3 linked regions of the Oryctolagus cuniculus genome follow. The protein of the gene in region 2 interacts with the protein of the main gene of each other region in a biochemical or structural test. Links are inferred from orthologs where the notes say so. Each region holds a gene or a part of one and is shown on either strand. Other genes may lie near its edges.

What was found.
Region 1: of the proteins of FBXL17 (region 2) and SUFU, one has a biochemical effect on the other in vitro, tested with the Homo sapiens proteins (2 studies listed by BioGRID, with this or other methods). The link is inferred for Oryctolagus cuniculus from reciprocal best matches to the Homo sapiens genes FBXL17 and SUFU.
Region 3: the proteins of FBXL17 (region 2) and KLHL12 form a complex in vitro, tested with the Homo sapiens proteins (3 studies listed by BioGRID, with this or other methods). The link is inferred for Oryctolagus cuniculus from reciprocal best matches to the Homo sapiens genes FBXL17 and KLHL12.

The regions. Positions count from the first base shown.
Region 1 is NC_091446.1:27,386,809-27,390,463, reverse strand, and holds part of SUFU (suppressor of fused homolog), read left to right. Parts: intron 1-1,631; coding exon 1,632-1,717; intron 1,718-1,965; coding exon 1,966-2,038; intron 2,039-3,655. UniProt on the Homo sapiens protein: Negative regulator in the hedgehog/smoothened signaling pathway. Down-regulates GLI1-mediated transactivation of target genes. Down-regulates GLI2-mediated transactivation of target genes. Part of a corepressor complex that acts on DNA-bound GLI1.
Region 2 is NC_091445.1:30,982,029-30,985,683, reverse strand, and holds part of FBXL17 (F-box/LRR-repeat protein 17), read left to right. Parts: intron 1-1,450; coding exon 1,451-1,708; intron 1,709-3,655. UniProt on the Homo sapiens protein: Substrate-recognition component of the SCF(FBXL17) E3 ubiquitin ligase complex, a key component of a quality control pathway required to ensure functional dimerization of BTB domain-containing proteins (dimerization quality control, DQC).
Region 3 is NC_091444.1:18,659,009-18,662,663, reverse strand, and holds part of KLHL12 (kelch-like protein 12), read left to right. Parts: intron 1-920; coding exon 921-1,074; intron 1,075-2,087; coding exon 2,088-2,305; intron 2,306-3,655. UniProt on the Homo sapiens protein: Substrate-specific adapter of a BCR (BTB-CUL3-RBX1) E3 ubiquitin ligase complex that acts as a negative regulator of Wnt signaling pathway and ER-Golgi transport.

The sequences.
Region 1 (3,655 bases), on a different chromosome or scaffold from region 2:
CCTTCCCTGTGGGAAAAGTTCTGGCAAGACAGGAGCAGGAGGTTTTCTTTGATCCCCTCCATCTTCTGTTCCCGCTGATGGTTTGTCAGCAGATGATCTGCCTTAACCTTCTGAGGTGGCAGGAGGGGAGGGAAGGGGCTGCCTGGGTGTGAGAGGATGACTAGTGGAGTGAGGTCACAGGGAAGGTATTTTGTGAACCAGGAAAGGTGCAGACAGCCGCAGGTGCAGCTGGACTCTACTTTCCCAGAAGGGCTGTGAATCCACACACCACACACATACCACACCACACATACCACACCCCACACACACATACCACTCACCTCATGCACATACCACACTACACACACACCACACACACATACCACACACACACATACCACACACACACATACCACACACACACACACCACACCACACACATACACACACACACCACACCACACTACACACACCCCACACACACACACCCCACACACACATACCACACACACACACCACACATACACACACCACACCACACACACACACACCATACACACACATACCACACACATACCATACCACACACACACACACACCACACCACATACCACACCACACATACACACCACACACATACCACACACACACACCACACCACACATACACACCCCATACACACACCACATACCTCATACACATACCACACTACACACATCCCATACACAGACACACCTCACACACATACCACACCACACACATACCATGCCACACATATACACCACACACACATACCACACACACACACATACACACACATACCACACACCTCATGCACATACCACACGACATACACACCTCATGCACATACCACACCACACACACATACCACACACACCATACACACATACCACACACACTCCACACACAATACACATACCACATCCCACATACACCACACACTCATACCTACACACACACCTACACACACAAACACCACACACACACCACACATGCACACCACACGCATACACACACACCACACATGCACACCACACGCATACACACACACACCACATGCACACCACACGCATACACACACACACCACACATACCCACACACACCACACATACCCACACACACCACACACACACACACACACACGCTGCAGCAAGTGCTGGCTTTGGGTCATAAGGATGTCTCTACAGAGGTTCAGGTGTTCCCTGGAGGTTTACAGACTTAGCGCCTGATGAGGGAAGAGCTTCTCTGCAGAACTGCCGGAGCATCTGGGCCGTGGTCCCGAGCCTGAAGGGTCTCAGACCGTGTGCAGTCCCTATAATGCCAGACAGTGGGAACATCTCCCTGAACCGCCTCTCAGCCTAGCGTTAAACCTTGTGTCTGCCAGAAACCTCACCCTTCACCGCAAGGGCAGGCAGGCGTCAGGCCTCAGTGCTGTCTGTGGACCCAGCCATCTCCTAGCCAGGCGGCAGCCCCCTCTAAGGTTGGGTGCCAGCTAATTTGAGACACAGCAGCTCCCAGCACAGATCCTGCCTGTGGTCTCTCCCCTTGAGGTCCCCCAGGAGAGCCTGGTGGCTGCGCTTCAGGGAGGGATGATCATTAATGCACAGTGGCATCTTGTCCCCCGCCCTAGATTGTCGGTGTCTGCACCGAAGAGCTGCACTCAGCCCAGCAGTGGAACGGGCAGGGCATCCTGGAGCTGCTGCGGACTGTGCCTGTGTGAGTACGTGCCCCTTGGGGGGGTGGGGCCTGGCGACGGGAGGGGGTCCCTGTTTCACCCCACATGTGGGGCTCCCTTTGCATTGCTGTTTCAAGCACTGGTTTTCCCATCAGGGCTTCCTGACAGTCTGTAACCTGGACTGTTCCCCTGTGTTCGGGGACTGGGGCAGCAAACAGGGCAGGCTTTCACCCCAGCCTGTCAGCCCCAGACCCTTAGTTACCATCGTATCCCCTTTCCTTGTCCACAGCGCTGGCGGCCCCTGGCTGATAACTGACATGCGGAGGGGAGAAACCATATTTGAGATCGATCCACACCTGCAAGTATGTCTTGAGTGAGGGAAACCTTCTAGCACATGGTGCCTAGTCCTCTTCCAGATAACACTGACTTTCATCCTGGGAAAAGAGAGGAGCCTGATATGTGATTGAGTAGAAATATGGCATGATTTGCGACTTGTCCCCTGAATTCCGCAAGTACACAAAGGGGAGCGTAGATTTCAGCCCAGGCAAGTCTATCTCAGACACATGCATTTTGCATTTTAAAAGGGTGAATTTTATTGTATGCAAATTATGTGTCAACTTTAAAAATTAGATCTCTAGCAATGAAAGAAAATAAGTAGATATGGCTTTCTTGCCAAATATTCATTCCTTTACTTCCCCCTTCTTTTTTTTTTTTTTTTAAGATTTATTTCATTATATATTTGGAAGGCAGAGTTAGAGAGAGAGAGGGAGAGACAGAGAGGTCTTCCATCCACTGGTTCACTCCCTAAATGGCCACAGTAGCCAGGGATGGGTCAGGCCAAAGCCAGAAGCCAGGAGCTTCTTCTGGGTCTCCTACATGGATACAGGGGTCCAAGCACTTGGGCCATCTTTCGTTGCTTTCCAGGCACATTAGTAGGGAACTAGATTGGAAGTGGAGCAGGCAGGACCCCCAACGAGCACCTACACGGGGTGACAGCACTGCAGGCAGAGGCTTAACCACAACACCGGCCCCATAATTTTCCCTTCGTAAAGAACACAGACAAGGCTCACATTGTGGCACAGCAGGTTAAGCTTCTGCTTGCAATACCAGCATCCCATATGGCCACCAATTTGAGTCCTGGTTGCTCCATTTTGGATCCAGCTCTCTGCTAATGAGCATGGGAAAATAGCAGAAGATGGCCTAAGTGTTTGGACTCTTTCAACTTACGTGGGAGACCTAGATGGAGTTCCAGGCTCCTGGCTCTGGTCTAAACCATCCCTGGTCATTGCAGCTGGTTAGGAAATGAACCAGTGGGTAGAAGATCTTATTCTCTCTCTCTCTTCCCTCTCTGTCTCACCCTCCTCATCTCACCCTCTCTCTATGTGTGTCACTCTGCTTTCCAAATAAGTAAGTCTTACACACACACACACACACACACACACACACACAGACTTTCAGGGAGCTTTCTCACCCCCACCTCCGCCCCTTGCCAGACAGTGGTGCAAGTGACACCACTCCCTGACCAGCTGCAGCGCTGGTGGGCCTGAGGCCCTGCTCCTCCTTTGAGACACATGCTCCAGCCTGAGCAGTCAGATACTGAGCTGCCCTTCCTGCTGGCTAGGTCAGCATCCTTCATGTGTAAAGGAGTCTTCAGACACGCAGGCCTGCAGCTGCCCCTCACAGTGGCCCACCTGGACAGCCTCACCGTCTTTAGTGTCCTAGAAGAAGCACTCATCAGCATGTGGATGGATTTTGAAAGACCCAGGAGCATGCCTGCTTTTGCTATGGCCTGCTCAGGGAGCAGGAGCAGCAGGCATCCTACCAGGTGCCTGCCATGGGCGTGGCTCCTGCTCCCCCTCCACCAGTTGCAGGGCAGTGCTGTCTCTGAACCTTTCCTTCTCTAAAGCTCTGGCAGGCCACAGGCAGCTGCCTTCTGGAGCAGGGCAGAGGTGGCAGATGGACACGCTGCCTGCAGTCCC
Region 2 (3,655 bases):
ATTCTAGTTCTTTGCTTCTTCCATTCTAAATTTCATGTAAATTTTCTCTTTCCATTATTTTTTACTTACAGGATTTGAGCAGCATTAACTGTATTTTCCTTTTTTTAAAGGTGGTAGTTGGGCAAGGAGTAGGTAGAGGGTGATTTTTCTTTTCTTTGAACTCAAATGGCCATGTGAGTTTTTTGTCACATAAATTTTATGGTTACTTATATTTAGCATTGAGTTTTTTGAGCATAGTTTCTTGCCATGGACATTTTTGTATGGTAATTGATGTTTTGAAATGCAAAATTATATATTTTTTAGACTATGAACTACATGTAAGGTAATATTCTGATAGAATTAGTGAGATAATTAAAATTTATATAAGTAGCATCATCTGATATAAAGTATAACTTGTCTGTATTCATACACCATAATGACTGGTGTAGAAGATTTGCTGGGTTAAAAATAGAGAACAAAACATTTAAAATCCCAGTCTGGTTTTGTTTGTAGTGACTTTTTGGTGAGTTTGAACATTTGTTAAAGTGAGCTTCCCAGTGCTGGTAGATTTTTTATGCTTTTTAATGAAAACTAGGACATATATTCTTCCCTGTTTTTTTCTGACACCAAAAATGAAGAGTTTTTCTACACTAACAACAAATTCTCTGATTCTAGCTGGATGTCTAAAATTCAGCTGAATTCTGACACTAACTCCCAGGGTTAGTGCAGACCCTACCAGGCTTAGTCCCACAAGGTTGGCCCCACTTCAAATGCCAGTTTCAAGTCCCAGGAGCCACCTATACTTCTGACTCACCGGTTATAAATTATCCCAATTGCCTCCTCACTTTCAATAATTAACTACAGCTAATCATAGAACTCAGAAAACATTTATATTTACTGGCTTATTATAAAAGACAAAATCAGGACCAGACAACTAGAAAAGATGCGTAGGGTAAGGTATAGGGGTGCCTGTTGTCCCAGCACTTTCATGTTTTTACCAAGCAAGAGGCTCTCTTTCAAGAATCTCCTGTTTTAGAATTTTTATCCCAATCTGCAGCTCCATTCTTCTCCCTGGAGGTTGGAGGTAGAAGCAAAGTTACTACCTTCTTAGCCCCAGTTAGTCTTTCAAGTAGCCAGCCCCCATTCTGAGACTTTCCTGGGTGCCCCCCTCTGAGTCACCTCATTTGTACAAACCCCAGTGTGGTTAGAGGGGCTTGTTATGAATTATAATAAAAGACACACTCCGGAAATTTTGAGGGTTTTAGGAACTCTGTGCCAGGAATTTGGGACAAAGACCAAATACATTTTTTATTATATGATAATTCTTATTATGCTTTAATGATAAGAAAAGTTTTCTTTTGATTGTGTTTTCCATGATGTAATCTGTTATGTGTAGGATAGAATTTAATGGAAGAATAGAAATTAAGTTCGATTTTTAGCAAAAGTCAATTTATTGCTTTTTCTTTCATAGGTCACTGATGAATTATTGGAAAAAATTGCATCAAGAAGTCAGAATATAATTGAAATCAACATTTCTGATTGTCGCAGTATGTCTGATACTGGAGTATGTGTTTTAGCATTTAAGTGTCCTGGACTTCTTAGGTATACAGCCTACAGGTGTAAACAGCTTTCTGACACGTCCATTATTGCGGTTGCCTCTCACTGTCCTTTACTCCAGAAAGTCCATGTAGGTAATCAGGACAAACTTACTGATGAAGGACTCAAACAGGTAAATTTTCACATCTGTGAACTACTTTTACTGAAATTAACTTAAGATGCTTTCTTATAGCAACATTTGAAAAGGTTCTTCGTTAAAAATAATGCTTGGAAACCAAAGTGAGTTATCTTTTTTATCTATCAGTGAATATGTATTTGCATTGGAGAACTACAGTGCCATGTGTGATCTGTAAATTAACTGTCAATTTTTGCATTAAACTTCTGAGACCAATGATTTTATTAATTTATGTTTCTGTTACTTAGTTTTATACCTAGTTTTGTTTTAGATAATAGTATGCAGTTTGGGTCAACATGAGTTGTTTTTTTTTTTTGACAGGCAGAGTGGAGAGTGAGAGAGACAGAGAGAAAGGTCTTCCTTTGCCGTTGGTTCACCCTCCAATGGCCGCCGTGGCCGGTGCGCTGCGGCCAGCGCATCGCACTGATCCGATGGCAGGAGCCAGATACTTATCCTGGTCTCCCATGGGGTGCAGGGCCCAAGCACTTGGGCCATCCTCCACTGCACTCCCTGGCCACAGCAGAGAGCTGGGCTGGAAGAGGGGCAACTGGGACAGAATCCGGCGCCCCGACCGGGACTAGAACCCGGTGTGCCGGCACCGCAAGGTGGAGGATTAAACATGAGGTTTTAAAAATTAACTTTTAATTTCCCTTTTATGTTACTAGATGACATACTTACATACTTTAAAACATCTAAATGAGACTTAAGCCTATGGTGGTTAAGATGCTTAGGTCGCCTGCCAAAAGCACCTGGGCTCAATACCTAGCTTTGTCTCCTGAAAACAGTTTCCTACTAAGGCAGACTCTGGAAGGCAACAAGTGATGGCTGACTTAGTCAGGTCCCTGCCACCAGACTGGGTGGAGCTCTTGGCTCCCGGGTTTTGATCTGGCTTAGCCCTACCCTAGCCTTTTGGGAAATGAGCCCATAGGTGGGCATGAGCTCTGTCTCTTTGTCTTCATCTGTCTCCCTCTGTCTCTTTGCCTCCTAAAACAAAGCAAAAGCAAATCCAAATGTATTAAGGCATCAATGCAAGTCCAAATTAAAGAGTATAAAATTAAGAAAAAGAGTGAAAATTAAATCTATTTGGCACAGTACTTCAATTATAAATACTTCCTTCAGAAATGGCACTTGAGACTTTACAGCTCAGAGTGGATTATTCACTCAAGGAAAGAAGGTCGTTTAACGTTACACATGAATTAACTGAAAGTCCAGTATTAGAAGAACTTTAGAGGATTGTATCCTAAATAGTGAGTACTGGATTTTGTCAATTCAGTGTATGTTTTAAGAATGTTAACAATTCATAAGGGGGAGCAAATTTCATCTGCAAAGGCAAATTGTGCAGTAACAGTGTTAGTTAATAGTTTTACTAATTGATTTCTGTAATATACAGCATTATTCACTAGCAAAACATTATATAAAGTTCTCAAATCTGTTAAATTAATCTATGAGAAAATTAACATTTTATGGCTGTAGCATACTTTTAATTATTTTGATAGAAATTTCTCAGCAGTTTATACTTAACAGTGAAACTTTAAAAAATGTTCAGTGGAATTTTTACATATTTTTTTCTGAGCAGATTTTTTTTTTTATTCTTTTTTGTTTTTAACGAATGAATGAATTTGAGAAGTAGAGAGACAGAGAAAGAGACAGGTAGAGAGCTCCCAACTGCCAGTTCAGTCCTCAGATAATCCAAACTGTTGCAAAGCTGATTGGCTGGAACTCAGTGTTTCTCACCTGTGGCAGGGACCCAACTACTTGAGCAATCACCTGCTGCCTCCCAGGGTATGCATTAGCTGGAAGCTGGAATTGGGAATGAAGCCAGGACTTCAACCTTGGCATAATGACACGGGATGTTGGCATCCCAACCCACCTCTAACAATGAAACATTTTTGAAAGATTTCTTTATTAAAAACTGCATTAAATCTGTTACATAGTTAAATCTGA
Region 3 (3,655 bases), on a different chromosome or scaffold from region 2:
GAGCTTCGCCGATCTGAGGCCAGGAGCCAGGAGCTTCTTCCGGGTCTCCATGTAGGTGCAGAGGCCCAAAGACTTGGGCCGTCTTCCACTGCTTTTCCAGGCCATAGCAGAGCGCTAGATCAGACATGGAGCAGCTGGGACTTGAACCAGTGCCCATATGGGATGTCAGTACTGCAGGCAGTGGCTCTACCCGCCACACCACAGCACTTACCCCACTATTGTGTCTTAAAAGTTCGTGAGCAGGGCCCAGTGCTGTGGCGTAGCAGGTAAAACTGCAGCCTGCAGTGCTGGTATCCCATATATATGGGCGCCGGTTCAAGTCCCAGCTGCTCCACTTCCGATCTGGCTCTCTGCTATGGCCTGGGGAAGCAGTGGAAGATGGCCCAAGTCCCAGACCCCTGCACCAGCATGGGAGACCCGGAGGAAGCTCCTGGCTCCTGGCTTCGGATCGGCGCAGCTCCAGCCGTTGCATCCGGTTGGGGAGTGAACCAGCAGATGGAAGTCCTCTCTCTCTCTCTGCCTCTCCTTCTCTCTGTGTGTAACTCTATCAAATAAGTAAATAAATAAATTTTTTTAAAAAGAAGTTCATGAGCACTAGTGGTATGTTCATGGAACTTTTGCATTCTATTCGACAGTAAACTCTGTTTTAGTGTGAAGTCAGTGTTTTCAGTTATTCACTAATAAATTTGATATTCCAGAAGGTGCCACCTACTGTGTATATCTGGGGTTCAGGTAACTGCCCACCCCATTCAAAAAGCTACAAATACATGTCCTGTCTGCTCTATACAAGTCCAGCGAAATAGAGTGGTTTGTTTAATGTGTGTTCAGTTCATACTATCATCAGCCTTTCAGCTCTCGCGTTGGAGATGCTGCGTTTGCCTTGTGAGAGTCTGAGCATCATTCTTACTCGGAGTTTGTAGCTTTCAGAGAAGGGGAAGCCTTACGTTGATATCCAGGGTCTGACGGCGTCCACCATGGAGATCCTGCTGGACTTCGTGTACACAGAGACGGTGCACGTGACGGTGGAGAACGTGCAGGAGTTGCTGCCCGCAGCCTGCCTGCTGCAGCTGAAAGGTACGCGCCCCAGGTGTCCCCGGAGGTGTTGGAATGAGCGCTGCAGACTCACGCGTGACATTGATGGAGACAGACTCGGGACGCTTGCCTTCACTGCCCTTGGCTTTTGTGTGGGCGGCAGAATACCAGGTGTCGATAGCCATGTAAAGGGAGCTCTCGCGATATGAGCGCTTGTTTCTTTGAGGGAGAACAGTTCCACCTGTTCTGCTCCTAAAGACCTGGAGGAGGGCACGGTGTATGCATTTCCTTACGTTTGTGCACCTGGTGCTCCTCCCCGTAAGGAAATTAACGAAACTGAGACTGTCTGTGGCCTGCATGGATACTGCTCCTCTTCTAGGGAGGCTGGAGTGGGGGGAGGGCTTTTCATGGGCAACCCTTTTGTTTCTTTAAGTTTTTGAACCATGTAAAATATCAATTAGAAAATAAAAGCTAAATCAGCACTCAAAAGTGAAAGTAGGTTTTCACAGGAATGGGCTGCCTTCCAGCTCCCAATCTGCCTTTTTAAATTTCCAGTCGCTCTCATTATATTCAGTCCTGATATACACGTAGTTTAACATTTCCAGTCTGAATGCAGGATTTTGAGACTGTGAAGCTTTTGCATTCGTGCACAATTACAAAATTCAGTTTATGCTCAGAACTTTGCCATTAGAGCAGTACAAGGTTGTTCTGAGGGTCCGTTAGTAAGTTTTGACGTTACGGAGAAAACGGTGCATTGTGCTGAATCAGCACTTGCGTTTAAAGCTCGGTTCGCAGCAGTGTTAGAAGAGTTTTGGTTTCGTTGCGCCAGTGTCCCTGCCATCCTGATTTTAAAGATGAGGTAGAGACAAGTGTGAGGTTCTTGCTTGAAGCCACAGAGCACATAAGACAGAGTGAAACTGGAATTTGTGTGCATAAATTTTTTTTTACCTGTTTCTTAGATGTTGAGCCAGGGTTCCTCTGATAGAAAAGATATTGAGATCCTAGAATATATACTGGCCAAGTGTACTGAAGTGTTCACCACCTGTTTGTCCTAGGTGTGAAGCAAGCCTGCTGTGAGTTCTTGGAAAGTCAGTTGGACCCTTCTAACTGCCTGGGTATCCGGGATTTTGCTGAAACGCACAATTGTGTTGACCTGATGCAAGCAGCTGAGGTCTTTAGCCAGAAGCACTTTCCTGAAGTGGTGCAGCATGAAGAGTTCATCCTTCTAAGTCAGGGAGAGGTGGAGAAGCTCATCAAGTGCGATGAAATCCAGGTACAGGTTTGGCGTGGTGTCTGCCGCCTTCGAAGCTGGGCCGCTAGGAAACTCGCACAGCGGGGTGAAGTTGCCGTGTGTCTGTAGCAGAGCCTCATAAGTAGGCGTCCGTACTGGCCAAGGGTTTGTTAACTCCCCACAGTTATATATATCAAGCTTCTTTGCATGTTTATAGAGAGCCCGTCACTTTCCTCAATTAAATGTATGATGCCAGTGGTGAGATTCTCTGTTAGGCAGAATGCAGAGTGAACAGGAACCGCAGGTGGAGTGGGTGTCTGTTGACCTCTTCTCTGTTACCCATTCACTCCTTTAGACGTTTATTGAGCATTCTGCTGTGTAGCAATCACTGTGCCAGGGATATGGAGTTCCTGGTTCCCGGGAATGCACAGTACAGTAATAGGAGCAGCTAGACGAACACAGGAGAGTAGTGAGTCCATACAGGGTAAGATCACGTGGAAGGAGAGTAAACCTTTGCTCGGGTGTGGAGCGGAGAGACAGAAGTTTCAAAGTGAGGATGTGCATAAGCTGGAACCAGGTCCTGACTGCGCTGTGGGGCTGGTGGGGACAGGAGGAGGGGACAGGTCAACTGGGTGTCAGAAGAATAGCGCTTGCCTGGCAGAGGGGTTAGGTGCTGCCTGTGCCGGGCAGGCCTTCAGTGTCTTAACCCAGCAGGAGGAGGCTGAGCAGTTCTCACTCCAAACCGCAATACCAGCAGCTAGGCAGAGTTTTTTATTGCATAGAGGTCTATAGTGAGGCGAAGAACTAGAGTTAGAAATCCACACATGGGCCGGCGCTGCGGCTCACTAGGCTAATCCTCCGCCTGCGGCGCCGGCACTCTGGGTTCTAGTCCCGGTTGGGGCGCCGGATTCTGTCCTGGTTGCTCCTCTTCCAGTCCAGCTCTCTGCTGTGACCCGGGAAGGCAGTGGAGGATGGCCCAAGTGCTTGGGCCCTGCACCCGCATGGGAGACCGGGAGGAAGCACCTGGCTCCTGGCTTCGGATCGGTGCAGTGCGCCGGCTGTAGCGGCCATTTGGGGGGTGAACCAATGGAAGGAAGACCTTTCTCTCTCTCTCTCTCTCGCTCTCTCACTGTCTAGCTCTGCCTGTCCAAAAAAAAAAAAGTCCACAGTCCACACATGGGGCTGTTAAATATCTTTGAACTCATAGGATTCATCTCCAGTGGCCCAATTCTTCAGTTAATAATTTCTAGAAAATATCTAGAATCAAGTCTACCTGTTGAGCTTGTTTTACCCAGGTAGAAATTTGATTCTTCAGAAGACTAAGAAATCATTTTTGCTCCTCTCTGGTAATAATAAGAGGGTGATTTTTGGAACTGGCATTTGGCACAGAGA